Linked DNA regions of Sus scrofa. The protein of the gene in region 4 binds, or shares a complex with, the protein of the main gene of each other region. Links are inferred from orthologs where the notes say so. Each region holds a gene or a part of one and is shown on either strand. Other genes may lie near its edges.

Region 1 (4,235 bases), on a different chromosome or scaffold from region 4:
TGAGCCCCCCTACAAGGCAGCTCTGTGGCACAACTGATAGTACATTGGATTTTTAATGGATAAGCAATGAGGTCCTACTGTATTGCACAGGGAAATATATCTGGTCTCTAGGGATAGACCATGATGGAAGATATGAAAAGGAATGTGTGTGTGTGTGTGTGTGTGTGTGTATATATGTATATATATTTATATATATGTGTATATATATATATATGACTGGGTCACTTTGCTATACAGCAGAAATTTGGCACAACACTCTAAATCAACTATCCTTTGTTTTTTTAAAAAGGAAAAAATATAAAAAGACTTTATAAATTAGAAACAAATGAGCCCTACAAATGCATCCTAAATTTGACTAAAAATTCTAACAATTTAAGAACAGATAACATACTTTGAAATCCACAGTTCTAAAAGAATGGATTTACAAAGACTAAATTTTTTTTTTTTTTTTTTTAGGGCTGCCATAGGAAGTTCTCATGCTAGGGATCAAATCGGAGCTATAGCCACTGGCCTACACCACAGACACAGCAACTCGGGATCTGATCGAGTCTGGGACCTACCCCACAGCTCATGGCAACACTAGATCCTTAATCCACTGAGCGAGGCCAGGGATAGAACCCGCATCCTCATGGACCCTAGTTGGGTTCGTTAACTGCTGAAGGCTCTAAAATTTCTTAAAAGTATATTTTTATTTTTCTCTATAGCTGAGTATTTTATATCTATCATTTAACAATTTTAAAATGTAAAATAATCACAGTCTCTCATAGCAAGGTTTTCTTTAGCTCCAAGAATATCCCTCGTTATTATGATCTACTTTTTAAACATTGTGTGATTATGATCTACTTTTGCTTGTACTTATTGATTAAATTGCCACTGATCAAGGCATGCATTCTTAAAATCTGTTAAATCTGAAGATAACTCACCTGCCTAGGATTTTTTTTCATAACAACCATACAACTCTTGGTCAGCTGTGGACAAGGTCATAATATACCCTTGTATTTACAGTACAAATAATCGAACCTATTTCAGATCCACAAAGAGGAAAATGTGGAAAAATATGATAAATTAGTTAAGCTGAAAATTTTAATAACTTTAGAGCAAACACTGTAGTCAAATTTTGCAAAGAAGTTATTATGTTAAGAATTTTGTACACAAGCCTCTTAAGAGTTATGCTATGTCTATATTTCAGAGATCAAACTTATAATCATGCAGTTGAAAATCAAGTTAATATGTAAATGAACTTTGAAAGCAAGCACAAGACATGAATTTACTAAATTTTGCAAAAGTACAAGTTGAGTTCTATAAATGGAATTTAAATTAAAACATTTTATAGTATAAATCAGGGGTAGGCAGACTACCAGCCAGCTGCCTGTTTTTGTATAGCAAGTGAGCTAAAAATGGTTTTTTCACATTTTTAAATGGCTGAGAAAAAATATCAAAGAATAATATTTTGCGACACTGAAAATCATAGGAAATTCAAATTTTAGCATCCATAAATAAAGTTTTATTGGAACACTGCCAAGTCCATTCAATTACCATCATCTATGGCTGCTACATGCATCTATGGCCTGCAAGGTCTCAAATATTTACTATCTGGCCCTTTACAGAAAACCCCTGATACTTTACATCATCAGATTTTAGTGCCTGTTAAGCTTTAGAATCAGAAATGTAAAAGTCAATTTTTTTTTCACATTATGTTTTTCTCTGTACATCCTAAATCATGGAGGCTTAAATTGGAGGGACAGGCTAGTAATCAGCGTGGAAAATGAAACTATGGGAACAGACTTCTCTCTGCCTCCTTAAAAAAAAAAAAAAAAAAAAAAAAAAAATCCCTAAACCAAGCAAAAGGAAAAGATTTCTATTTCCCAGCACAGTTCAGTGATAAAAAGCGCACGGGTTTGGTTCACAGTATGTTGTCTATCATCATGATTTAAGAGGGGGAAACTGCAGGAAACTGCGTTGTCACTTGTCATGTTGAATGTAGCATCATGGTATTCTGTTACTTGATTTAGGGCAAGAGTTATATATAGGGAAGGAGAAGAAAGCAGGGAGAGGGTGAGTTTTGTTGGAGACGATGCTAGTGTGGCAGCTGCCACTCTGAATTGGATAGCGTTTAAAATAGTTCATTAAAACAAAAACAAAAACTTTTCATGCTTTCTGCCAGAAAACGGACTTGTGGTGGAACATACTTGTTCTGGTAGAAAAGAAAAAAAGGAAAAGATATTTTACTGGGGTTGGGGGTGGGGTGGGACGGGGAGATTGCCTGGGCTGTTTTCACTCCATCCTGGACATAATATGCCAGGGCGGATGCCGCAGAGGAAAAGCAAAGTCGGCCTTCTCAGCCTTCTCGGAGGGCGCGGGACTGGACGCGGAATGCGAAGGCGGGTTTTGTTCTTGTATTTTTTGAGGAAGGCTGGCGCCACGTCGGCCGCCCCTCTTGCAATTCGCCCGCGAGGCTACAGCACCATCAGCCGAAGACCGCCTGGGTATTTGGCCCCGAATATCTGGTCCTAGCCCCAGCCCCAGGCCCAGCCCCTCCTCCAAGGAGCCTCCCGCACTGCGGTGAACTCTCTGAAGACGAAACCGCCATCTTTGGTCTGGGCAAAATCTGGCCGCTCCACGCGCTGCGCTGAGCCTCGGCCACTCACCCGGACCCTCGCTATACTCCGGCCCGGTCCGGTTGGAGTCGCTGAACACGGTCCGGCTGAAGTTTCCCAGCCGCTGGCGGACCGGATCCGGCAGCTCCATGCTCAGGCCTCAGTACTGCTCCCACCTGGGTCTTCGGGCACCGTGGCGCTTTGAGGTTCCCACAGCAACCGGGCCGCGCGAGGCTGGGGGCTGGGGCGCACGCGCGGCCCCGCTGCGGGCTGAGGCGCCAGGCAGCCCTGGAAGATAGAGGAGTGCAGGGAGCCAGTTCCTGCCCAGCGCCTCAGCATGATGCCAAACCGCAGATTCCTAAGTCCTGCTTTAACGGCCACCATTTTAAAAAAGGAATAAAAATAATAATTAGTGACTAGAGTTGGATTGTGATACAAGGAGCTCTAAGACCTTGCCAGTGGGATACAATCTTTCTGGGAGAAAATATAGAATGAATGCTGAGTTAACAGACTGTTCATGACCCAGTAGCTTGTGTGTGTGTGTGTGTGTGTGTGTGTGTGTGTGTGTGTGTGTGATATTATTACATCCTAGGAATATTTTTTAATATATGCATGCCGTATGTATACAGACACATATGTATGTATACACATACATACTCTCTTATAGGAATACGTTATATATTAGGAATATTATATATATATACATAGCATATATATACGATACACATATATATTGGGTGAAATACATTGAAGCAGTTTAAAAGCATGTTTGCAATGAATATTTAATGATGGGTTAACTTTAAATTAAAAAAAACCAGAAGTAAAACTAAGTAGGAATGAACCTAATTTAGTAAAATGTGTGTGTGTAAATATATGGGGAGCAGAGAGGGGGAGAAGATGGCACAAGCACTGTGGCTTCAAAAGAAGACTAGAAGAAAATAATCCAAAATGTTAGTAGTAATGTCTAGATAGTGATTGTGGGTGATTTAAAAAATTTAAAATAGGAATTCCTGTTGTGGCTCGGGGGTTTAAGAACCCAACATAGTCTCTGTGAGGATGTGGGTTGGGACCCTGGCCTTGGTTGGTTAGAGATCCGGAGTTGCTGTGGCATAGGCCTGCAGCTGCAGCTCCAATTAGACCCCTAGCCAGGAAACTTCCATATGTCACAGGTGTTGCTATAAAAAGAAAAAAAAATTTAACCACTTAGTATTTTTCTAGCTTTCCCTCAAATAAGATGTATCGTTTCAGACAGACAGACAAACAAACAAACAGACAAACTGGTTAGGTACAATTATGTACAGAAAAGTGTACAAACTGAATATACAGGTGTAACAAGAACCCAGATCAAGAAATGTAACTTTGGAGTTTCAGTTGTGGCACAGTGGAAACAAATCCCACTAGGAACCACGAGGTTGCGGGTTCAATTCCTGGCCTTGCTTAGGATCTGGTGTTGCCTTGAGCTGTGGTGTTGGTTGCAGATGCGGCTTGGATCCTGTGTTGCTGTGGCATAGGCCTTCAGCTGTAGCTCGGATTGGACTCCTAGCCTGGGAGCCTCCATATGCCATGGGTGTGGCCCTAAAAAGCAAAGAAAAAGAAAAAAAAAAAAAGAAACTTAACTTTACCAGTACCCTCAGAAGC
Region 2 (4,126 bases), on a different chromosome or scaffold from region 4:
GCTGTGGTGCAAAGAGATCAGTGGTGTCTTTGCAGTGCCAGGATGTGGGTTCAATCCCTAGCCCAAGACCATGGGTTAAAGGATCTGGTGTTGACCTGGCTCTGGGGGAGGTCGTAACTGTGGCTGGGATCTGATTCCTAGCCCAGGAACTCCACATCCTGTGGGGCTGCCAAAAAATAAAAAAATAAGGAGTGTTAAGGCACCCTGCCTTTTGTGTTCAAAATTACTCTTGAATTGTTTTCCATAACTTAAAACCCTTGTAGGTAGGTAGCTATAAGACTACTAGGGACAAAGCAATAGTGTTTAATAACTACTTAGGGGGAAAAAGGGTCTCTATTCAAGATGTGAGTGTACTTAATCAGCCAACAAGCATCTGTTGAGCACTTGTGGGGTTTAAGTAGCACTCAGCTGCTCTTTCAAGCCTCTTCATGTCTATACGCTTGGCTCCTAGAGCAGGGTACTAATGAATAGAGCTCAGATCCAAGATGAAAGTCAACATCCTTCTCTTCCACCTGTAACCCATTCTGCAAACAGCTGCCCAGTTTCTCTCCTCAGTTTTCACATATCAGGAGTGTGACCTAAAATCAGGCAAGTAGGAGTTCCCATCGTGGCACAGTGGTTAACGAATCCGACTAGAACCATGAGGTTGCGGGTTCGGTCCCTGCCCTTGCTCAGTGGGTTAACGGTCCGGCGTTGCCGTGAGCTGTGGTGTAGACTGCAGACGCGGCTCGGATCCCGCGTTGCTGTGGCTCTGGCATAGGCCGGTGGCTACAGCTCCGATTCAACCCCTAGCCTGGGAACCTCCATATGCCTCGGGAGCGGCCCAAGAAATAGCAACAACAACAACAAAAAGACAAAAGACAAAAAAAAATAAAAAATAAATAAATAAATAAAATCAGGCAAGTAATTCACCAACCTGAAAAATGGGTATAACCCTGCAACATAAAGCTGTTATGAGTATTAAAAAGGATACATCACAGATGAAATGCTTAGCATAAGGCCTGCTACACAGTAAGCAGTTAATAAATATCAGCTGTCATTTATTATCACTACCTATATAGGTCTAAAGAGAGGCCCATTAAAAAGCTGATGGAAAGTGCAAATTCAACTTCCCACATCGGAAAAACGCCCTGAACTCATGCCCTATTAATGATGGGTCAAGAATAGCTTCATTTCGGGGAGAAAGTGCATTAAAAGGAAACTCGGCCCAAAAAATCTCAGAGAATTTTGGGTATTTAATACTCTGCTGTAGTCTGCTGTAGTGCAGTATCACTTAACTTCTCTACTAATTCACCAAATCAGCAGCTTTCAAAAACAACACTTTGTTTATATTGAAAAGCAGGTATATCTCTCTGTGTTTTTTCTTACAGACCACTCATAATTTATAAAGGAGAAATGGTTCAGTAACTGAAGTTAAGTCCTAGAGTTCAGGACATCAACCAATGATGACTCTTCTCCTTACAAAATATCGTCTTACTCAATTTAGGAAAAGATCTCTTTCTCTTAAGAAGGGATAAAAAATACTGCATTGCTATTGAGTTACAGAAAATTTACAGTGTTTTGTTTTTTTTTTTCAATCACAAACTTCTTTGAGAGACTACCTACTGCTATGAACCCTCACCCTGGAAAAATTCATGTTCAAAAAAGTCTGCACTCAGTCTGGGAGTCACAGAAATCCCCTGAAGTCATCCCTGCCAAATCTGATTAGTCGCTAAATGTATAACTCAAGGTTTAGATCACTTTCTGAGAAATATTTTAATTATCCCTAAAGATGAATCCTAAGAACTGGGCATAACCTTCTCACCTCCAACTCAACACAAGAGGAATCCTGGTTTTTCACAATTTAAGTCAACAGACACAGGCCTTAACCTAGTCACTTTCAGTAAAAGAGACATTTCCCATACCCCTTTCTTTTTTTTCTTTTTTAGGGCCACAGCTGCAGCATATGAAGTTCCCAGGCTAGGGGTAAAACTGGAGCAGCAGCTGCCGGACTACCCCACAGCAAAGCCAGATCCAAGTTGCATACTGACCTAGGCAGCAGCTTGTGCAGAATGCAGGAAACTTAACCCACTGAGCGAGGCCAGGGATCAACCTGATGGATACTAGTCAGGTTCTTAACCGCTGAGCCACAATGGGAACTACCCCTCCCCCTCTTTTTGATAAGCAAAAAGTTCAACATATCCTATGCGCTTAATTTCCACAATTGTCTAGAAAATTCCAATTTAATTTCATGTTCTTCTAGAAAACTACATTCATTATTACCTTTAGAGTTAATGTTATCCAGGACCACTGCAAATACTTTCAAAGATTTTTCTCTGAGTCTCAGTTTTCTCATTTGCCTAACAGTGATAATAACATCTACCTAGGGGTTGTTAAATTAATGCCTACGAAACACTTAGCAATGCCTACATACAGTAAGTGTTCAATAAATGTTAACTATCATTATTATCACAACCTCACCCAGGCTACCCTCTCCAGGTTGGAACAATGCAGGTCCCCCGGAATTGGCACTTGGTACCCACCGTCCGTGACCGGGGTAGGCCTGGGGCCGGAGGAGGGCCTGGGGCCCCTGGGAGTCTCAGGGGGCCTAGGTGATAAGGTGGGTAGGAGAGTCGTCGGGGCCGGCTCCGTAGAGTTGAAGCCCTCCGTAGTCACCACAGGGGTGGCCCCGGCCTGGGCGTTCACAGATGCCCAGCAACCCAGGAACACTAGCAGGAGCGGCGGGAGGCCCCGTGGCCCCATCGCCCAGCTGAACCACGCAAAGCCAAGGCTGACAACCTCGCGTTGCTTAGCAACCGTGGCTGCCGGACGCGAGGCATCACGGGAAGGGTCGCGCAAAGCCGCAAGAGACAGCGAAGGTGGAGGGCGGGGCCTGGGCAGGGCGGGCCGAGAGGACAGTGGGCGGGGCGGGGCTAGACCAGCCTCAAGGGGCTGGATCGAGGGGCGGGGATGAGGGATGGGGACCACCGTTCTTCGTGAAGTCGGTGGAGACCTAGGGCTTGTGAATAACCGATGAAGTTTCCAAGCGGACTGCAGTGCTTGTTTAAAAAAATGCGGATGTCCAGGTTCCAGCTCAGAGGATTCTGACTCAATAAGCCCAGAGCATAGTCCAGAGGTCAATTTTTTTTTTTTTTTTTTGCTTTTTATGGCAGCACCGGGGGCATGTAGAAGTTCCCCCGCTAGGAGTCGAATTGGAACCGCAGCTGCTGGCCTACACCACAACCACAGCAACACTGGATCCTTAACCCACTGAGCAAGGCCAGGGATGGAACCCGCATCTTCATGGATATTCATGGGGTTGGTAACCTGCTGAGTCACAAGGGGATCTCCCCAGAGAGCAATATTTTTAACAAATGTTCCAGTGCTACCAGTGGAGGGACAGAAATTTGGGGAACTGCTGTCCTAAAGCTACTAAATAGGGTATTTTGAAGCACAGAGATCACATCACCATCCTTGAATTTTCTCTATTTCACACCTGTCCACACTTGCTTTGCCATTTTGGTCTTAACCCACTTAGGCTCTCTGAGCCATGGTTTTCTCATCTGTATGACAAGGATATCACCTACCTCTAAGGGCTGTGTTCCAGGAGATGGCCAGATAACTTCTCTTCACCATGTTGTGATAAGGGGGGCAGGTGAGCACTTGACTTTTTTACAGACAAAAAAAAATCGACAAAAATTGCATGTAATGGGAGTTCCCGTCGTGGCGCAGTGGTTAATAAATCCGACTAGGAACCATGAGGTTGCGGGTTCAGTCCCTGCCCTTGCTCAGTGGGTTAAGGATCCGGCGTTACTGTGAGTTGTGGTGTAGGTTGCAGATGCGGCTCGGATCCCGTGTTGCTGTGGCTCTGGCGTAGGCCGGTGGCTACAGCTCCGATTAGACCCCTAGCCTGGGAACCTCCATATGCCACGGGAGCGGCCCAGGAAATAGCAAAAAGACCAAAAAAAAAAAAAATTGCATGTAATGATTTATGTCTTAAAAGGAAAAAAACAAAGCAAATCTACTGTAACTCTACAAAATGGGAAGACCAGACTAGGGGAAGCCCCTTGGTTCTAAACTGCATTATTTATAGAAGTATTCCAGCCCAAGAATGTTGGGTATACTTTTGACATTTTTGTCAAAATAA
Region 3 (3,510 bases), about 37 Mb from region 4:
AGCCACAGCAGCGCCTGATGTGAGCCGCACCTGCGACCTACACCATAGCTCGTGGTGATGCCGGATCCTTAACCCATGGAGCGAGACCGGGGACTGAACCTGCGTCCTCATGGATGCTGGTCAAATTCATTTCCACTGAGCCACAATGGGAACTCTGTGAATGCCCTTTCGATGGAGCATCAAAAGGACTGTGCTCAGGGGTTTGAGCGGGGCCCAGGGTGGAGCGGCAGAATAGGCACCGTGGATCCGTGGCAGAGGAAGAGTTAAGTACAACAACCCTGAGGCAAGAGCTGCTGTGTGGCCTGAAGAAGGGCAAAAAGGCCAGTCTGGCTAGAGAGGAGCCAAGGGCACAATGATGGGACAAGTGGCTAGAGAGCTGGGAAACTGTAAGAGAGGGCATCTCGTAGGGAGGTTGTGAGGATTAAATAAGATGATAGATTTAAACCTCTTAACTCAGGGCTGGCATGTGTTATATGCTTGACAAAGGGAGGCTGGTATTCTTCTTCAAATGTTTTGCATGCACTGGAAAAGACTTCCTGGAATACACCGCACGCACACGTGTGTGTGTGTGTGTGTGTGTGTGTGTTTGCGCACACACAACCAAAAAGTATAGACAATTCAGTTCTTAGATAAAGACAAAATCAGATTTTCCCTCCGTCTCCTTTCAGATATAAATTCAGGGGTAAGTATCTACATTTTTTTAAAAAAATGTGGCACATGGAAGCTGCTGGGCCGGGAGTGAATCCAAGTGGCAGCTGCAACCTACACTACAGCTGTGGCAATGCCAGCTCCTTGAAGCCACTGTGCCCGGCCAGGCACTGAATCTGGGCCTCTGCTGTGACCGGAGCCGCTGCCGTTGGATTCTTGACCCACTGCCCCGCATCAGGAACTCCCTGTCTCCATGTTTGGAAAGGATGTGTGGCAAGAATTCCTCGGCAATCCTTTGCTGTGCCACCCACAGAGAGATGCCATTTCCCAGCTTTCCTTTCTTCCTCGTCCGAGACCTTGAGAAACACTGACATACAGAAATGAGAGATGGGCGGCGAGGAGCCTCCTTACGTTGTATCGCACGTCTAGGCCGCGGTAGCTTAGAGGCTGCCTCTGCTGCAGCCTCAGGTCTCCGTTCACATATAACTGGGACCCCGGAACCGCGAAGGAGGCCTGGAGAAACGCCATGCTCTGCATCATAAAGGTCGACATCCTCTGAAATCATGAGAAGAGAAGATCCCTTCTGGTCAGATCCAAAGGGCTCTAGGCTCTGCGTGTCACTGTCTGTCCTGGCTGTCCCTGGCTGTCCCTCCTGTCCCCAGCTTAGCCACGGAGGAAGCACTCGGCCTCGAGCCCTCTGAGCTGTGCATCGTGCATGGAAATTAATATGACCTCAATGAAAACCATTCAAATGTAACTCAAGCAGTTAAAATCCGAACACCGCCTCCGAAAAAGAGCCTTCTGCAGGGTGGGTGTTCCTGGAAGACAGAAGGGGGGAGGGTTCTGTTCCTTTGAAAGACAGAAGGGAGAGGACGAGCTTCTCCAAGGAAGTGACTCACGTGTAGTTGGTAGGAGAAGGTCAAGATGAGCTGCACACCAAGGACATGCTCCGTGGACCGCAGGGGAAGCTCCAGTTTAAAATGTAACACGTCCATCTTCCCATCCTGGTTCCTGTCTTCTTCTCTAGTCTAGGAAATGCAAAAAAGGCCGGGACCCTGGTCCTTAATAAGGCTGGGAGGACCCCATCTCACTGATGGGCACACGCAGTGATGCAGTTCTGCCACACACAGGCACTGTCTCCCTCAAGAAAGAGAAGACAAACATAAATCCAGACACACGGAAACATAAATCGGTACCGAGGAAAGAGACACGTGTGCATGGCCCCTGAGCTGCATGCTGGCACTTCTCAGATAACTCTGGGACCAACTTACAGGGAACCGGATGTGGCAGTAGAACAATGAAAACATCTGGATGCATTTTTCTTTTCCTTCCATTTGTTTCGTTTTGTTTCTTTTCAGGGCTGCACCAGCAGCATATGGAGGGTCCCAGGCTAGGGGTCTAATTGGAGCTGCAGCTGCCAGCCTATGCCAGAGCCACAGCAAAGCTGGATCCTTAACCTACGGAGCAAGGCAAGGAATTGAAACTGCGCCCTCATAGATACCAGTTGGGTTCGTTACCACTGAGCAATGACGGGAACTCCCTCTTTTTCTTTTTACTTTAAAATTTTTTTTTTAAATTTTTTTTTAAAATTTTTTAAAATTTTTTTTAAATTTTTTTAAAATTTTTTTAAATTTTTTAATTTTAAATTTTTAATTTTTTAATTTTAAATTTTTTAAAAATTTTTTAAAAATTTTTTTTAAAAATGCCGCACTCACTGCATATGGGGATTCCCAGACTAGGGGTTGAATTAGAGCTGTAGCTGCTGGCTTACACCGGAGCCCCAGCAACACAAGATCTGAGCCAGGTTCGTTAACTGCTGAGCCATGATGGGAACTCCCCTCTTTTTTTTTTTTTTTTTTTTTTTTTGTCTTTTGTTGTTGTTGTTGCTATTTCTTCTCTTTTCTTTTTTAATGACAGTTGCAATGTTTCTTTCTTTCTTTCTTTCTTTTTTTTTTAATCTTTTTGCTATTTCTTTGGGCCGCTCCTGCAGCATATAGAGGTTCCCAGGCTAGGAGTCTAATCAGAGCTGTAGCCGCTGGCCTACGCCAGAGCCACAGCAACGCAGGATCCGAGCCGCGTCTGTGACCTACACCACAGCTCACAGCAACCCCGGATCCTTAACCCACCGAGCAAGGCCAGGGATCAAACCCGCAACCTCATGGTTCCTAGTTGGATTCGTTAACCACTGTGCCACGACGGGAATTCTTGCAATGTTTATTTCAAGTTCTCTCTTGTTTTTGTTTTTCTTTTTTGCTGCATAGGCAGCATGTGGAAGTTCCTGGCCCAGGGATTGAACCTGCACCACACAGCAGTGACCAGAGCCACAGTGGTGAGAACGGAGGAGCCTTAACCTGCTAGGCCATCAGAGAACTCCCTGGATGCATTTTTTGTTTTTTGTTGTCTCATTTGATCTTTTTTGCTTGTTTGTTTGGCTGGTGGTGTTTTCCTGGGAAACAGGCCTGAGTTTATATGGAACATTTCAACAGCACATCAGAACTGATTTCTATTTCTCTAGAAGTCAACTTTTTAATTTTTTTTTTTTGTCTTTTTGCCTTTTCTAGGGCCGCTCCTGTGGCATATGGAGGTTCCCAGGCTACGGGTCTAATCAGAGCAGCAGCCACCGGCCTACGCCAGAGCCACAGCAACGCAGGATCTGAGCAGCGTCTGCAACCTACACCACAGCTCACGGCAATGCCGGATCCTTAACCCACTGAGCAAGGCCAGGGACCGAACCTGCAACCTCATGGTTCCTAGTCGGATTCGTTAACCACTGCGCCACGACGGGAACTCCTAGAAGTCAACTTTTTAAAACAGAAGAAACATCCTAATCATAATGCATTCCTCAAACAGACTCAGCAGGAA
Region 4 (4,198 bases):
CATGGTTCCTAGTCGGATTCGTTAACCACCGAGCCATGATGGGAACTCCTGTTGTTCTATTTTTAATGGCCATACCTGCAGCACATGGAAGTTCCCAGGCCAGGGACTGAATCCGAGCCTCAGCTGTGACCTACACCATGGCTGTGCCTTGGATTCTTGCATACACTCTGCTAAGATGGGGATGGAAGCAGTGCCTCCGCAGCAACCCTAGCTGCTGCAGTCTGTTCTTTTATTTGTTGTTTTTACTTTTTAGGGCCACACCCACGGCATATGGAGGTTCCCAGACTAGGGTCCAATCGGAGCTACAGCTGCCAGCCTACACCACAGCCACACCAACCTGGGATCCAACCGTGTCTGTGACCTACACCACAACTCACGGCAGCGCTGGATCCTTAACCCACTGGGTGAGGCCAGGGATTGAACCCGCAACCTCATGGTTACTAGTCAGATTCGTTTCTGCTGTGCCACAGGGGGAACTCCTGCAGCCTGATTCTCAACCCGCTACACCACAGCAGGAACTCTCAGAGCCCACTTCTTATCTACTCAGCTGGAAGGACCCCAATTTCCCAGGGAATCTGAACCACCCTGCCCACCAGTGAAATTACAAAGGACCCCAAGCCTGAAAGGATGATGATGGCAGTGGCCACACTCATTTCGTGGGCATTTATTTGTGCTAGGCAACATACCTAGGACTTTACAAACAAGCCCCCATCCAGTTTTCACAAAGGCCAGGCAAACACTTACTGAGCACTTGCAAGAAAGGCCCTCTTCTAAGTGCTGTGGATGTTTATTTAGTTCTCACAACAAGCCCATGAGGTAAACAGTGTTATTATTTCCATTGTACAGAAGGGAAGCCGAGGTCTAGACAAGTGCCCAAGGCCACGTAATTAATAAGCAAGCCCCAGTTTTGAACCCAGGCATTCTGTGCTTTTACTTTTTTATTTTTTGTCTTTTTTTTTTTTTTAGGGCCGCACCCGCAGCATGTGGAGGTTCCCAGGCTAGGAGTTGAATCAGAGCTGATCCCGGCATTCTGTGCTTTTAACCTCAGCACTCTGCTACCTCTTAGATGTTATTAGCTTCATTTTCAGACAAGGAAACTGAAGGTCAGAAAGGTCAAGTCCAAAGGTTCCCAATTAATAGGTAAGGGAGTTTCTACTTGAGCCCAGACTCGGTGGCCTATGGCCCTAACCACCACACCATCCCATCACACTATCTCCGATGAAGGGCATGAAAACTGGGGCCTCCATGGTCCCTCTTGGGCCTGCGCGGATGAACCTGGATGACAGCCACAACGAGGTTCCTACATTCTCAGAGAAAAATGAATACGGTAGGGTGGCCTCTCCTCGCAATTCCGAGATGGAAACTTCTATTTTACATCAAGAATAAATAGGAGTTCCCGTCGTGGCACAGTGGTTAACGAATCCGACTAGGAACCACGAGGTTGCGGGTTCGGTCCCTGCCCTTGCTCAGAGGGTTAAGGATCTGGCGTTGCCGTGAGCTGTGGTGTAGGTTGCAGACGCGGCTCGGATCCCGTGTTGCTGTGGCTCTGGCGTAGGCCGGTGGCTATAGCTCCGACTGGACCCCTAGCCTGGGAACCTCCATATGCCGAGGGAGCGGCCCAAGAAATAGCAAAAAAAGACAAAAAATAAAAAATAAAATTAAAAAATAAAATAAAATAAAATAAAAAGAATAAATAGAGACTGTTAAGGAAAGAATTAAGACGGAGGAGCCACCGAGGATACCGCTAAGACAATGAATAAAGTCCAAACAGTGTCCTTAGGGCTATCAAGTGTTTTGAGGGTTGGGGATGGGTATGTGTCTAGCCCAGTGTCCCCTCTCCTTAGGGGCTGTGAGAGAGCGGGAGCCATGGTCCTCAGAGATGGGATGGGAAGGGATAAGAAAGAAGCCTGAGATTCGCATGAACAGAGGTGGTCAGGGTTTGAGTTCTGAAAGCCGATGCAAGCTGAGGATCAGGGACTGAGGGTGAAGGGTCTAGGCTGAGGGGTTCTGGTGGGGAAATGAGCCATGTCGGGGAATACCTGTGTGGACGCCCCACTTGCAGAAGAGGCTACTTTCCGAGAAACCGGTGGCCCCCATGATCTGCCCAATCACGTGCACCTCAGCCATGGCCCTGAGAGGGGAAAAATATAATCACAGCTTGGTGAGAAAAGTGTACTATTATCTCCACCTAATAGATGGGAAAACTGAGGCCCACTAAGTAAGGAGCAGTACTTGGGATCCCAAGTGAGTTTTGTCAAACTACTGAGGCCGCTTAACCATAATACCAAATGCCTCTCCAGGAAAGTCCTCGAAAAAAGAGAGGTGAAAAATGGACGAGCTGAGGAGCTGGCACCTAACTCTGCCTTCAAAATAACCTCTTCCTCTAGCTCAGTGTAGCGGAAAGTCCGGCCCAAGGGGCCCATGGCTCCGCCCACAAGCACAAAAACCCCGCCTCCGCCCCTCGGATTCCCCCACCCCTCCCCAGGTTCATCAGGCGCATGCGTTTTAAGTGCAAGGCGACCTTAGCCCCGCCTCTGAGCCAGCGCATGCGTTTTTCCTACCTCAGAGCCCCTAACGGTTAAGAGGCGTGAAAGCGCCGGCGAGGATTGGAGTTCGTAGCCTGACCTGTCTCTCTTTCCGCGGGTGCTGACTCCCCAGGCCTGGCTCGCGCCTCCCCCTTCCGTACAGCGAGAGATCTGAGGCACTAATCCCTCTTAGGACTCGCCCGCCTCCGGGTTCCCTGGTTGTTGCTGGGACAACAGCAGCCTCCTCCCCTGGCCTTGCACCCGCCCTGCAGGTCGCTAATTGGCCTTAGGAGTCTGTGGGGCGGGACTAATACGTGATGGACATTTTCTCCCCTCCCTCTCCATTTTGGGAAAGCCGTCTCTTCCAACTTCTAGCCAAGGTTCCGCCATTTGCGGCGTGGCGGTGCTGTTGCCATCTTGGGTGTGGCTGAGGACGTTTGAGCGCTGTTTTCTCCCAGATATTCTCTTTCTTTTTTTGGCCATGCCGGTAGCAAGCGGGAGTTCCCGGGCCAGGGGTCGCTCTACAGTAGCGACCCAGGCCTCTGCAGTAACAACGCCGGATCCTTAACCTGTTCCTCACCGAAACTCCATACCCAGATACTCTCTTAACAGAATATGCAAATCCAGTGAGAGTTCCCTGGTGGTGCAGCGGGTTAAGGATCCATCCTTTGTTGTCACCGATGTGGCAGGCGTTTGGTCCCTGGCTGGGAACTTCTGCTTGCTACGGGAGCGCAAAAAAGAAAAAAAAAAAAAAAAAAAAAAGAAGAAGAAGCAAATCCTTAAGTTCTCCTTGTCCCCTAAATCTCTCTCCCAACTGGAACCACAAGTCAGAGACTTGAGCCAGAGCCAAGGGGGAATTTCCCTCAGATCATTGTGTATAACCTCCTGCCTTATAATTGGAGAAAAAAAAAAAATTCAGAGAAGTTGGGGAGGGGGTTTCCCTTCCTTTTGAAAGTTCTCCTAAGTTCTTCAAGGACTTATAAATCCAACTCCCTTCTCAGAAATACTGCCCAGTTCTTCACTGACTGGTGAAGTTAGTGATTCTGAGCAAGGAGGTGGGTGTGGGGCTCCAAGGACGGGTATGAGAAATGAGGAACTGAGGCCGTTTATCTGCAGAAAATCCGGTTCTGACCTCAGTCAGTAGCTTGTGACCTTGCATGGCCCCATTTCTCAGTCATCCCATCCATGTAACAGGCGCCAGGGGAGTGACTGAGAGGGATTCACACCTACTGATTTCCTGAGTAGTGCCTTCCCCACCCACTAAGTCCAGTTGAACCTTAGTCCTGTGCCTTATTCCTTCAGCCCAGGCAGGAAGTCCAAAAGGAACTTATTCCCCTACTTTTTAGCAAAACAGCTACTGCAAAAGGTAGAGTCACCAGGAGTTCCCATCATGGCTCAGCGGAAACAAATCTGATTAGTATCCATGAGAACGTGGATTCAATCCCTGGCCTTGCTCAGTGGGTTGAGGATCCGGTGCTGCCGTGAGCTGTGGTATGAGTCACAGATGCTGCTTGGATCCCAAGTTGGTGTGGCTGTGGCGTAGGCCGGGGGCTACAGCTCCAATTTGAACCCTAGCCTGGGAACTTCCATATGCTGTGGGTGTGGCCCTAAAAAGACACACACAAAAAAGTCAGAGTCACTAGCTCAAAGTTATTAAGGAAGGGGCAACATTC
Region 5 (3,510 bases), on a different chromosome or scaffold from region 4:
CTCTTCCTAGAGGTCTCATCTTCCCTTGCTTATTAAAAAGTTAAAGAAATTTTAACCAAACAGAAGGGCTCTTTCCACCCACTCATGGATGTATCTGTAAACAAGAGAAAGAAGTGCAGAAATTCAAGTTAAGTGCTATAGCTGCTGCTTCTTTCTTTTCTTCTTTTCATTCCCTTCTCTTTTTTTTTTCTTTTTTTAAAGCTTTAAGAAGATAACAGAAGTAAGCATAGAAAAGATTCTCTACTAGAGTCATACGATCTGAGAAGATTTATTTTTAGTTTCAGCTATTCCAATAAATATTTCAAAGAAGATTTCAGGAGGAGTACTGGTAATGTGAGTGAGGTTTAATGATATGTAAATAAATGCTAGACAATAAGTTATATTTCCAAAGAAAAGACTAAGGGTACCTTAGAAATTCCTATCATTTATAAATTAATCCTGTGACTAGAAAGCTGCAGACTCTGAAAGACTCTTCCGAGCCCCACTACTGATAAAAATGAACTCTGAAATCAGATTGCCTACGTTCAAATTCCAGTTCCACCAATTTCTACTTGCATGGTTTTAGGCAAATATTTAACCTTTCTTTGCCTCAGCATCCTCATCTGTAAAATGAGGATACTCAAAGAATCTATCTCTGAGGGCTACTGCAAAGATTAGGTCAATCTGTGTAATGCAATTAATTAACACAGTGTTTAGATTATCACACCATGTAAGAACTAGCTATTAGCCATAATTGTTGTTGTTCTTGTCATCTTCTTAATGCTACAGAAGTCATGTTGTAGTCAATATTTGAGGATTAGTATGTAAACAGAATTAAAAATACATAGAGGCAATATTGCTCAAAAGTATACTCTCTTGTTACCTGTATAATTCCAATGACTAGCCAAAGAACAGTAGACACTGCATATCTCAAAATGCGGCTGTAAGGAGCTATGTAGCTAGGTGGGCTTCTGGAAAGACTAGAGGATGAGTCCATTAATGCTAAGTTCTTGAATCCCACAACCTGAAATAAAAAAAAAAAAAAAAACTAATAATTTAAACAGACATGGATAAAGAAAACTCCTCTGGTCTGAAAATGAAACAATCCTCTCAACTCCCTACTCCTTATTCCTCCCTTTCCTTTAGCTGAAAAACTTAAGTATTCAAAGTTCGTATAATCAGTTGAAAATCTAGATGAAAATAATTATCCTGTATTTTAATTACAAAGTATGTGATAGAAAATATTTAGCTAGTTCATTTAGTATTCTCTTCAACAAGGCTAAAGACCAAATATAACCTTATTATCATATACACCGACAAAGCTCAAAAATTTCTGTCAAAAGAGTAAAGCTTTCTTCAGTAAACTACCTATGAACAACCAGCATTTCATGAATTTTTAGCATATGCCAGGCACTATGCAAAATATTTTTATACTGTAAAACTATATTTTCCAAAGCATCTTTTGAGGAAGATACCATCTTCAATAAAAGAAAGTCTGGTCTGTGTATTATATTCACTCACCTCCATGCCTTCTACCCTAAAGACTCTGGGAGGTTTTATGGTAAAGGAATGTACAGGACTTTACTGAATCCAGTGTTTTCCAAACTTACTAGACTATAAAACTTCTTTCTCACATAACACCTTTTAAAGCTTTAAAAACACTACTATAAATGAATTTTTGAGATAGTGTTCATATGTCCTAAGGACACACACGTTCTTTTAGTTTTAAAAAAAGGAAAAGGAGGAGGAAAGAGGATAGGAAGGAAAAAGGAAGGCAGACAGATAGATTTATGAGTTAATAATTCACATCTAACGTAAGCAGCTAATTCTTGAGAAAACCTGTTACCCATACAAACAGTTTCCTTATTTCACTCTGATATTCAATACTGATTACTTCCTTTAGAAATTCTACTCAGACCCATGGAATAACTGTAAAGGGCTCAGAAGCATGTACCCATTCACTGTGTCTCACTAAGCTGTAGCCTCAGCTCTTCACACAAAACACAGTCCATAGTCAGTGTTCGACGATAACTTTATTAGAAAACCTTTTAATAGTGGTTCTAATACAGGAGTGAAAATATGAATCATGGTGGGGGGCAGTTCTTGAAATACAGATACCTGGGCTCACGACAGAGCTACTAAATCGAACATATCTCTGAGGGTGAGGTGAGGCATAGGTATTCTGCAAAAGCTCTCCAGGGGGGTCTGCTACAAACCAATGGTTTAAAAGCCACTCCTTACCTAGCGTAGTCAAATTCAAAAAGACGGAAAGCAGAATGGCAGTTGCCAGGGGCTGGGGACAGGGGAGAAGAGGGAGTTGTTTAATAGGTAGAGTTTTTGTTTGGCAAAATGAAAAGAGTTCTGGAGACTGCACAACAGTAGGAATGTACTTAACAGTATTGAACTGTATACTTAAAGATGATTAATTAAGATGGTAAATTTCATGTTATGTGCACTTTTTAATGACTTGACAAAATAGTTTAACTTTTAGAAAACTCTTCCACTGGCATGAAAACTTAGCTGGAATTATATTAAATTAACATTTATAAGGTACCCAGAAGTTGCACACAATTACATCAAACAGTTTATACCTCCAAAAGGAAGAGGACGGTAAGTACTTGAAAGAGTGGGTTAATTTTTCTCACAGTCTGAATTTCATTCCATTCATTTGCTACAAAATATGTTCTCCATATGCTCACGGGAACAGTAGCACTCCGAACACCACCCTCACCTAGTTGAGGAGATAGAATGAGTAAAAAGGGTTTCACCTTCTTTGCACTACAGGGGTAGCAAAAGAATTCTGGTACAAATGGCTACTTCCATTACCTTCAACGGCTTTAAGAATCTTCCCTTTAGGTCGCTCCCAATCGATGAAGAATATGTCTATGGTGATCTGGGAGAAGAGCTTATGCAAAAACTGCAGAGCCTGAGAATGACAAACAAAACACGGAAAAGTATCTACATTAAGCCTGTTATGAAACAAACTCTGATGCTTTAAGAAACAAACATGCTGTAAGCACAAGAATATGTAATTTTCGCAAGTGATAAGGCTACAACATCATTTGGAATCACCGGAAGCTCATCAAATAGCATGGAATCACTAAGTTCACAGGATTTTTATACACATATTGATTCACCGTTCCTTCTTCTGTGTTTCTCTGAAATGGGGATATGAAAGGAGACACACTGCCTTCCCCTCACACAGGAATCTTGCGCAGACTCTTTCTCATGGCTTCCAAAAGCATGTTTTGTTTTCTAGATCACATAACTTCTTTATAAGTAAAGGTATTTTCAACTATAATTTGCTTACCGTAATTAATTTTTTCTATTTCTGGTATTGACAGTTCTGATTAAAAACACATTTTTCATGTATGGAATACATTTAAACTGAGGCACTGTCCTAGTTGGAGCGTTACTGATCAAACAAAGGATAAAAATCTAAGTATGGGATGATTCCTCTCTTCATGAAGCTCACAGATCAGTGGGGACAGCAGGCTCTTAACAACCACAACTGGATGAGATCCACCACAG
Region 6 (4,139 bases), on a different chromosome or scaffold from region 4:
TTTATGTGAACCTCTTTTTGTTGAAGTTATTTTTTTCCCTCAGTGTATGTTTTAACACCGTTTTCAGGGATGAGGTAACTCATGAGGGATTGCTCTGTACCTCCGGGGATGTAAACTTGTCCTAGAGAAATCCTTTTTCAGAGAACCGGAGGGGACCTTATTGCTGATCTACTGCCCTGGACATGGAGTTACAACGAAATCTCTTCTCCCAAGAAACCAGTGAGAGGAACCAGGCACTCCTGTAGTTAGATAATCGGGAAGGAATGATCTAATATCTCATGCCGCCACCCACCTGTGGCGCAACAGAGCAATAGACAGGTAAGTCTTGACCCCAAGTATGAAGCCGCCTGAAACTTCAGAGAGGGTGTAACGGGATATGCCACCAGATCCACTCTCTCATTGTGAGCCAAGGTTAAGTGCTTTTCTTTGTTCATCAAGTTACAGATACCAGCTCATCTCGCAAGGAATGGAAATAGCCTCTGGACAACACTCACCAAAAAACAGTCGAATTGCTTCAATGCCAAGATAAAGGAAGAGCATCACCACATCCAGGACCAGATTGGCTGTTGGATATGGTAGCAGGAGACCTGCGATACAAAAGCCAGAGTTTGCAAACAACGTCGAACAGCACACACAAGGTCTCCCACTCACTTGGGAATAAAGAGAACATGAGTCTTATCATGTTCTCTTCCCATGAGCTACTTACTGAGATACGGGCAGGATCCGTTAACTCATGGTGCGGCTATGTCTGTTAGAGGCAGGCTCGTAATTATGGGCTTTTACTCCTAACTCCAAGAGTCTGTGGGGCTCTACTGCATATGGAATGGATGGGTGGTCAGTGGGGACCTGCTATTTATAGCACAGGGAACTCTACTCAGTATTCTGTGATAACCTACATGGGAAAAGAATCTGGAAAGGAATGGAGATGTGGATATGTGTAAATGAATCACTCTGTTGTACAGCAGAAATTATCGCAACATTGCAAATCAATTTATAGTTGCAATCACTATACTTCAATAAAACCTTAAAAAAAAAAAAGATTCTGTGGGGACGCCACTCTCCAGTTATCAGATCAGATGTACACGGATATACGGCGCTGAATAGCTTCTGAGGGTCACCAATGGGCTTAAAGTGGAGTTCAGCAAAGAGAGGTGACAGGGGAGAGTCAGAAGGGAGAAGCCCCCATTTCCCAAACTCAAGAAATTCTTGCTGAGTGGCTTCCTACTGAATCATTCTCAAGGAAGCCATCTGATGAAGAGACCTTGCAGTGAAGAAGAGCTGCAGGGGAGCAGAAAAGAATGAAAAAATAAGGCTTTGGGTGGGAGCTGGCTCTGGGCTGAAGTGGGGAAGGGATGTTGGGGAAAGGGTAGTTAAACCCCAGACCTTACCTTTATACAGAAATATGAAGAGTTCCAGCAGGAAATAGGTAGCATAATACCACCCGTTCAGAAAGAAGAGGATTTCCAGGGGGGTGGAAGATAACCGTTTACCTGAAAATAGGAGCACAGAGAAAAGAGACGGGCTGGAGGGCAGGCAGCTCAACCCCAGTTATTTGAATGGTTCTGTGTCTAACTTGGAGGAAACAGGAGGCCGCAGCTGGTGGAAAGGGCCACTGGCGGCACTTCTGATTGTTGATGAGAAGGTGTCTGTGTGGTGTGTGTGTGTGTGTGTGTGCACGCGCGTGTGCGTACGGAGTGTGGAGGGGTTTCAGCTGACAGAAAGGGTCCCTGGGGGCACTTCTGTTTGCTGATGAGGAGTGAGTGTGTGTGTGTGTTTCCTTCAATCTCCTCCTTTCCAGAATCGCCATCAAACTCTACCGCTTCGGCTTTGGGGGTGAAAGTCAGGGATCTAACCTCGTCGCTATTTAGGAAGGAAAACTGGGACCCAGAGACAGCACTGGCCAGTGTGAAGCCACGCTGCAAATTCCTATTGAGCCGGCCTAGAACAGGCTGAGCCAAGGATTTGGGGGTATTTGAGACCCACATCTCGAGACCTTCTGGCACTCAGGGTAGGTGAGGCTGCTAAACCCTGCTGTGGACAAGTGAGGAGAATGGAGGGTTCAGGTCGACGCTGGGAGAGGAGGGCGGGGTGGGGGGGGAAACTGAAGGGATCAGGACCAGCAACTCACACACCTCCAGAACCTCACCTCGCGGCGCCATCTTCAGTCCCCATGGAAACTGCATACGCGGCTACAGCACTCCTGGAGCAGCGAGGCGTTGCCGGAAGCGAGGGACGGAGCGGCCCTGGATTCGGGCCCTTCTATCCGCCTGCTGCACTCGATGGTTACCTGGGGCCGGGGGCACTCTTGTGACGGCCACGCCTGCGCCGGGAGGAGCGCGGGCCGCGAACCGACTTCGCTGGGGTTTTGGCAGAGGACTGATAAGAAAGCAGATGATGTCGTCTGCAGGACTCCGAGGGCGGGGCAGTTTTCGCCCCGCCCCCATCCCAAATTTACCAGGAATTGTTCGAAGCAGCCAGTAGTGGTAATGTGATCAGAGTTGGTGAATAGGCCCTGGTCCCATGGTTTCTTTACTAACATGGGTCTTAAAATGAGAAATAGTGTGCGCGACAGTGCGCTGCAAATGCGGCGTGGAGTTTGGGGATCCTTTGTGTAAACAGTCTTTTTCTGAGGGGAGGGGATGCGGGGGTAGGGTTTTTCTATGCATCTGATTTATGTACCAGGGAGTTAGAAGATACCAAAGTTGGAGTTTCCCTTGTGGCTCAGCGGAAAGGAACCTGACTGGTATCTATGAGGATGCAAGTTGGATCCTTGGCCTTGCTCAGTGGGTTAAGGATCCAGCGCTGTGGTTAACTGTGGTGTAGGTTGCAGACGTGGCCAGGATCCCAGGTTGCTGTGGCATAGACTGGCAGCTACAGCTTCAATTCGACCCCCAGCCTGGGAACATCCATGTGCCACGGCTGCGGCCCTAAAAACTAAAAAGACAAACAAAATAAAAAAAATAAAAAGAAGAAGAAGAAGGTACCAAAGTTAGTCGGAACTGGAGGCTCCTTTCAAGGAGCATAAATAAGAGCAAAAGATGAAATATAATCAGCACTTGACCCCAATGTGCAGTGGCAGTTGAGAAGACAAAGTACTCTCGGTAGGGGTTGGGAGACGTTTCCAAGACATGGCCTGTAAACTGGGCTTTGAAACTTGTTATGATTTGGAGCAGTAAAAATGTGTTACCCCACAGGGCAGGGGACTAGGAAGAAGGGTTGTTTTTTGCTTTTTTAAAATTTTGTTTATTGTAGTTGATACAATGTTCTGTCAATTTCTGCTGTACAGTAAAGTGACCCAGTTACACATATACATACATTCTTTTTCTTACATTTTCCTCCATCATGTTCCATCACAGGAAGAAGGGGTTTGAATGGACTCAGGGTGACATAGGGGTTAGCCCACTGTCAGGAAGGGTAGGACAGGAAAAAGATGTCACACTTGTAGACTTTTAAAAAATGCGCAATGTGAGAATTGTGAGTTAAATTTTTGGGCCGTCAAAGTGAGGACTATAGCCTGGGAGGCAGCATTTCAGATAGCTCTGGAAAAAAAAATGCTCCAAAAAAGTGGGGGCAATGCCAGTATATATGTGATTTTGGTGAAAGGGGTGGTACAATTTAGCAGAAAGTTACTCTCCTTTGGTGAAGTTTCCCGCTAGTCATGAGGAGCAGGCATCACCATGAAGGATTTTAGCGCTTTTCTAGATATGAGGAGATGCCAGGATTGGGTTCATAAAGTCTTCTCCCCAAAACACCTATCTGAAGACCTGTTTCTTCCAGTTTTTTTGGGGGGGACACAGCCACATCCATGAAATACATCTGCTTTCATGTAATAGGCTTTCATGCTTTCAGGCTGAGTCGTTGCATCACTTGTTAGGACTATATGGCTCACAGGCTTAAATATTTACAATCTGGCCCTTTAAGTAAAATTTTGCTGACTCCTGTCATAGACAGCAAGGAGTAGCTCCCATCGGTGCTAAAAATAGGCAATAAGATTGAAATAACAAACACAGGAGCATCATTGTGGCATCCTGGTTCCCTGGTACCCAGGGCCTATGAGTAACACAATGAGCTTGAGTTCGGCAGTGAGAGACCTTGGTTCTTATCTTCCTTGGGGGAAGAATTCAGCAAGGTGACCAAGA
Region 7 (4,245 bases), on a different chromosome or scaffold from region 4:
CTAAAAAGACACACACACACACACACACACACACACACACACACACACACACACACACACGAAAGCCTATTTGTGGCCTGTCAAACATTCCACATCTGCTTTAATTGTTATAGAAACAGGCACAGGAACCAGAAGAAAAGAATACCCATTGTTAAAAATAATGTGCCCTCTTCCTGGGGTGCCAGTGCTGGCACTCCCTGGATGATAAGACTCCCTTCCCAGGTGCCAAGGACATACTAACTCACTGCGTAGGTGCTGGCCTGTTCTTTTTTTTTTTTTTTCAATCTTGAAGAATTGCAGCCCCGACTTGTTTAATATTCTTTGTTCTGACAGGATATAATACAGTGCTGGAAATCATGCATCTTCTGAGCAGTTTCTAAGAGTGATATGGGAAGCAGATTCAGGGCTACTCAGTAGTTTGGCTCAAATGAAATTTTCTTCAATTCTTATTTTAGATCCTTTATTGATTATTATCATTGGCAACGGGAAGAAGAGCGATGATCCGGTAAGAGGGTAGGGAGGTCCCTGTGAGGTTGTGCATATGAGAAATGAACTCCGGCCAGAACTTTCCGTTCTGCCTGGAACCCTTTTGAGGCCCAAAGGTCAGGGAGGTCGCTGATAGTGAGAGATGCTTGGATAGTAGCTGGGCAAAGTCAAGTGCCCACGCCTCAAAGAGATAAGGAAATCCTTGCAGAGTCTGCATCGACACCCTCGCTCCTGGCCTCCCGGGGACGCAAGGTCTCATTCCCTGCCTCCACCCCCATCCCCAGCCCTTTCTGGTCCTCTTTGTTCCCTCTCTTCCCCAAACACACTTCTTGGGGCACACCCTAGTCCAAGAGAGCGGGCCACTTTCCGCGATGTGCAAATCCCTCACCAGTCTGAGCAAAGGTGTCTGGGGCGTGAGGGAGGGGGAACTAGAATCAACGAAGGTGCAGGTATGGGGTCCTCCAACGACCAGGGGCTCTGGGACAACAAGTGGCAGCCGGACAACATAGGCACATCCACCTCTCCACGTTCGGCCCAGGGCACGTGGGAGCTAAAGGAATGCGGAGGAGGGAAGGAGAGAGAGCATCCAGGCCTCAGGCACAGACAGCCGTGTCCGGAGGTTCATCCGGGACAACGCAGCAGGGGTTGGGGGTCGGGCTGCACCCGGCGTGGGCATCCGGAGAAGGGGGGGGTCCCAGGCTAGGCCCGGAGGGTTTCCGTTCGCCGGCGCTGCGCGGGCAGACTGGACGATGCAGGGCAGCGCCACCGCACACTCGGTGCTGACCGCTCGGCTGCTAGTGACCAGGCAACGGATAATCGGCCTCCCGCCGGAATCAAGTACGACGCAACCTGACTTGCAGTCCCGCGACGGCACGCAGCTGCTTGACAGTTTAATGCTCTCGCGAGATTTTCAGAGATCCGGTCGCAGCACCAGCTACCGCAGTTACCAAGGCAACTGGGCGGTGCCAGCGCGAGCGGGAAGGAGGCGAACGTCGAATTTTTGTCTGCTAGCCTAGGAGACTTGAGGACTGGCCCTCCCCGAGTTTCCAGCCCTAGAAACCCCGGCCTCTGCTCCAGGCAGTACCCCGTCCCCTGGGGGCCATGAGCCGGGTCTCGGGGCTCGTGCCCTCTCGCTTCCTGACGCTCCTGGCGCATCTGGTGGTCGTCATCACCTTATTCTGGTCCAGGGTAAGACCCACGGCCCCGCTCCGTTAGTCCACGCTCCCACCTTGGAGTGGTCCTGGCCCCACTCTACGCCTCTCCCCGGGGGCTTACCCGGTCGGGTGCTCCCCCCCCCGCCCCCACCCCGCCACCGCCGCCCCTCTCTCAACTTCTTTCTTTCTGCCCTGCTCCTCAGGACAGCAACATCCAGGCCTGCCTGCCTCTCACGTTCACCCCTGAGGAGTATGAGAAGCAGGATATTCAGTGAGCACCTGGGGCAGGGTGGTCAGAATTAAGCAGTCGTGGAAGTGAAGGGGTCTTAGAAAAAGTTCAAGAGGCCTAAGCCCACACCCTTCCTTTCTGCAGGCTGGTGGCAGCGCTTTCTGTCACCCTGGGCCTCTTTGCAGTGGAGCTGGTCGGTTTCTTCTCAGGAGTTTCCATGTTCAACAGCACCCAGAGCCTCATCTGTATCCTTTCTTCCGTGCACCTTTCCTGCACCGGCCATTTTCATCACAGCTCCTCTCCGCCACCTAACTAGGCCTTTCTGGTACATTGGTGTTTGTTCTAGTAGGCAAACAGAGTCCCTCCAGTTGAGAAATCTTCTTAGGCACTGTGGGAGATTTAATACAATCTTTGGGCATCTGTTAAGCTCCTGCTATACATCAGTCACTGGAGATCTCAAAATGGGAGTAAAACACAATTTTCTACCTTGAGGAAGAGTTAGACACAGACAGACATCTGTAATTCCGTGTGATAAGCACTGTGCCACGGGATGTGTAAAGATATGAAGCTTGTGGGGACACAGACGAGACAGAGGACGTGAGGGAGATGGATTAGGGAAGGCTTTGGTACTTGAATTGTGGTCAGGGAGGACCAGGGTGCTGGAAAGTGATTCCAGCAGAGAGTAAAAGGTCACAGAGTGCTTGGAACAGATGGGGAGGCTACTACCTCACCTGAACGGTCCAGGCTAGATATGGGGTGGGGGTTGCTTAAGGTCCCAGCTGTGCAGACTCAGCTCCTCTACTCACATGGCTGCCCTAAAACTCAGGATTCAGGGCTGCTGGCTCTGGCCTTTGCAGTGTGGTAAGAGGAGCAAGAGGTGCCCCGCTTCCTAGGATGTAAACCTGAATGTAGATGCCAGCCCCCAAACCGGCCTTTTCTGACCCATTACTACCTATTGATCCAAAGGATTTCCTTGACTCTAGTGTGTTCCAAGCCATTGGGGCTCACTGTAGTGCATCTGTGGCCCTGTCCTTTTTCATATTTGAGCGTTGGGAATGCACCACGTACTGGTACATTTTTGTCTTCTGCAGGTACGGTAGCACCCAATGTTTGGGCATGGGAAAGCAACATTAACTCTAAATCTGAAGATTTCCCTCACCCAGCTCTTTACTCCATGTATAAAATATCAGATCCACTCAACATCCTTTTTTGAAGTCCCCTCCCTCCTACATTTGGGGGTGGTATCTCTGGCTTGGGGATTTGGATTTTTTTATTGGATGAAGGGGACCCCGAAACCACCACCTATCTTCCGCAGTGCCCTCCCAGCCGTCACTGAAATAGCGTTATTCATCAGCGTCTTTGGGCTGAAAAAGAAACCTTTCTGATACCTTCATGACCGGAAGTACGGATGAAGGCTGGAAGAGCGAGGGATCGCTCACCGTTCCTGGAAGAAGGAAGTCAGAGGCTCCAGCTCTTCCTCCAAAACTGCGTCATGGAGGGTATCAGTGTAATAGTAATTATCTCTCGAGTCTGAAATTATGTGTGCTTTGCTTATAGTTCTTTGTAATAAATATATTTTTAGAATATGATCGACTTATAAAAATTTCAGATGAAAATTGGGGTGGCCAAAGTGATGGCTGTTTTCTAGGCCTGCGGACTGTAAAATAGTATATTCGCTTTTATTTTGGTTATTACGGTAGAAGTCTGGCGGGAGGGTGGGCGGGGATATGTAAATAAGGCGGTACTTACGGGTGGGACACCCGGCTGGTAAGTGAGTGGAGCATTCTGGGAGGAATTAGCTTATCCATTTTTGATAGCCAAATGGAAAAACTTATTTTAAAACATTTGGAAATAAATGTACCAAAATATACAGAAGAACCCAAGTAGGCTTAGTTGCTCGGACCAACGCAGTGTTTACTCATCCTATCTTTGAGAGGAATCTTTTTCCCAGAGTGCGGAATGTCACGCTAAACGTTCTTATCGTCAGGTAGGATAATCCTTACCTGTTCCTCCTTCGGGAGGGCAGAATGGAAAATGATGATTGGAGCTCGCATGATTCGTGATTAACGGCTCTGCGTAATCAGGACTTGCAACACCCTGATTGCTCCTATCTGATTCTTCCTGACGATCAGCGCTTTTTATCAGAGTCTTCACGGTTAGAAAGCTGTTGTTGTAGGGAAGACGTTGTACTTCCTATTTCTTGCTAGTACTTTCTTTTCAATTGTGGCTCTTGTCGCGGATGTTAGTGTAGTGCTAACTCCTCAAATCCCTTCTGCCGCGGAGCAGGCTTCCTTTTTAGTCTCAATGGCTGCAGTTTCCACCGGAAGGTTGGTCCAGGTTCTGAATCCACTCAGTAGTCTGCAGGGAACTCCCTGC

Evidence for each region.
Region 1: B9D2 (region 4) and TMEM17 share a complex: the UniProt entries of both Homo sapiens proteins name them as parts of the tectonic-like complex. The link is inferred for Sus scrofa from reciprocal best matches to the Homo sapiens genes B9D2 and TMEM17.
Region 2: B9D2 (region 4) and TCTN1 share a complex: the UniProt entries of both Homo sapiens proteins name them as parts of the tectonic-like complex. The link is inferred for Sus scrofa from reciprocal best matches to the Homo sapiens genes B9D2 and TCTN1.
Region 3: B9D2 (region 4) and TMEM231 share a complex: the UniProt entries of both Homo sapiens proteins name them as parts of the tectonic-like complex. The link is inferred for Sus scrofa from reciprocal best matches to the Homo sapiens genes B9D2 and TMEM231.
Region 5: B9D2 (region 4) and TMEM67 share a complex: the UniProt entries of both Homo sapiens proteins name them as parts of the tectonic-like complex. The link is inferred for Sus scrofa from reciprocal best matches to the Homo sapiens genes B9D2 and TMEM67.
Region 6: B9D2 (region 4) and TMEM216 share a complex: the UniProt entries of both Homo sapiens proteins name them as parts of the tectonic-like complex. The link is inferred for Sus scrofa from reciprocal best matches to the Homo sapiens genes B9D2 and TMEM216.
Region 7: B9D2 (region 4) and TMEM107 share a complex: the UniProt entries of both Homo sapiens proteins name them as parts of the tectonic-like complex. The link is inferred for Sus scrofa from reciprocal best matches to the Homo sapiens genes B9D2 and TMEM107.

The regions. Positions count from the first base shown.
Region 1 is NC_010445.4:79,414,336-79,418,570, reverse strand, and holds the start of TMEM17 (transmembrane protein 17), read right to left. Parts: upstream 2,805-4,235; 5' UTR 2,749-2,804; coding exon 2,649-2,748; intron 1-2,648. UniProt on the Homo sapiens protein: Transmembrane component of the tectonic-like complex, a complex localized at the transition zone of primary cilia and acting as a barrier that prevents diffusion of transmembrane proteins between the cilia and plasma membranes.
Region 2 is NC_010456.5:31,975,001-31,979,126, reverse strand, and holds the start of TCTN1 (tectonic-1), read right to left. Parts: upstream 2,810-4,126; 5' UTR 2,743-2,809; coding exon 2,523-2,742; intron 1-2,522. UniProt on the Homo sapiens protein: Component of the tectonic-like complex, a complex localized at the transition zone of primary cilia and acting as a barrier that prevents diffusion of transmembrane proteins between the cilia and plasma membranes.
Region 3 is NC_010448.4:12,153,807-12,157,316, reverse strand, and holds part of TMEM231 (transmembrane protein 231), read right to left. Parts: intron 1,677-3,510; coding exon 1,548-1,676; intron 1,204-1,547; coding exon 1,060-1,203; intron 1-1,059. UniProt on the Homo sapiens protein: Transmembrane component of the tectonic-like complex, a complex localized at the transition zone of primary cilia and acting as a barrier that prevents diffusion of transmembrane proteins between the cilia and plasma membranes.
Region 4 is NC_010448.4:49,355,619-49,359,816, forward strand, and holds the start of B9D2 (B9 domain-containing protein 2), read right to left. Parts: upstream 2,803-4,198; 5' UTR 2,562-2,802; intron 2,132-2,561; 5' UTR 2,128-2,131; coding exon 2,040-2,127; intron 1-2,039. UniProt on the Homo sapiens protein: Component of the tectonic-like complex, a complex localized at the transition zone of primary cilia and acting as a barrier that prevents diffusion of transmembrane proteins between the cilia and plasma membranes.
Region 5 is NC_010446.5:42,893,080-42,896,589, forward strand, and holds part of TMEM67 (meckelin), read right to left. Parts: intron 2,906-3,510; coding exon 2,806-2,905; intron 2,711-2,805; coding exon 2,571-2,710; intron 1,004-2,570; coding exon 863-1,003; intron 1-862. UniProt on the Homo sapiens protein: Required for ciliary structure and function. Part of the tectonic-like complex which is required for tissue-specific ciliogenesis and may regulate ciliary membrane composition.
Region 6 is NC_010444.4:10,119,455-10,123,593, forward strand, and holds the start of TMEM216 (transmembrane protein 216), read right to left. Parts: upstream 2,807-4,139; 5' UTR 2,184-2,806; coding exon 2,147-2,183; exon of another isoform or gene 2,133-2,146; intron 1,491-2,132; coding exon 1,389-1,490; intron 813-1,388; exon of another isoform or gene 707-812; intron 588-706; coding exon 495-587; intron 1-494. UniProt on the Homo sapiens protein: Part of the tectonic-like complex which is required for tissue-specific ciliogenesis and may regulate ciliary membrane composition.
Region 7 is NC_010454.4:53,394,263-53,398,507, reverse strand, and holds TMEM107 (transmembrane protein 107), read left to right. Parts: upstream 1-1,443; 5' UTR 1,444-1,587; coding exon 1,588-1,674; intron 1,675-1,843; coding exon 1,844-1,911; intron 1,912-2,013; coding exon 2,014-2,114; intron 2,115-2,863; coding exon 2,864-2,960; intron 2,961-3,184; coding exon 3,185-3,254; 3' UTR 3,255-4,008; downstream 4,009-4,245. UniProt on the Homo sapiens protein: Plays a role in cilia formation and embryonic patterning. Requires for normal Sonic hedgehog (Shh) signaling in the neural tube and acts in combination with GLI2 and GLI3 to pattern ventral and intermediate neuronal cell types.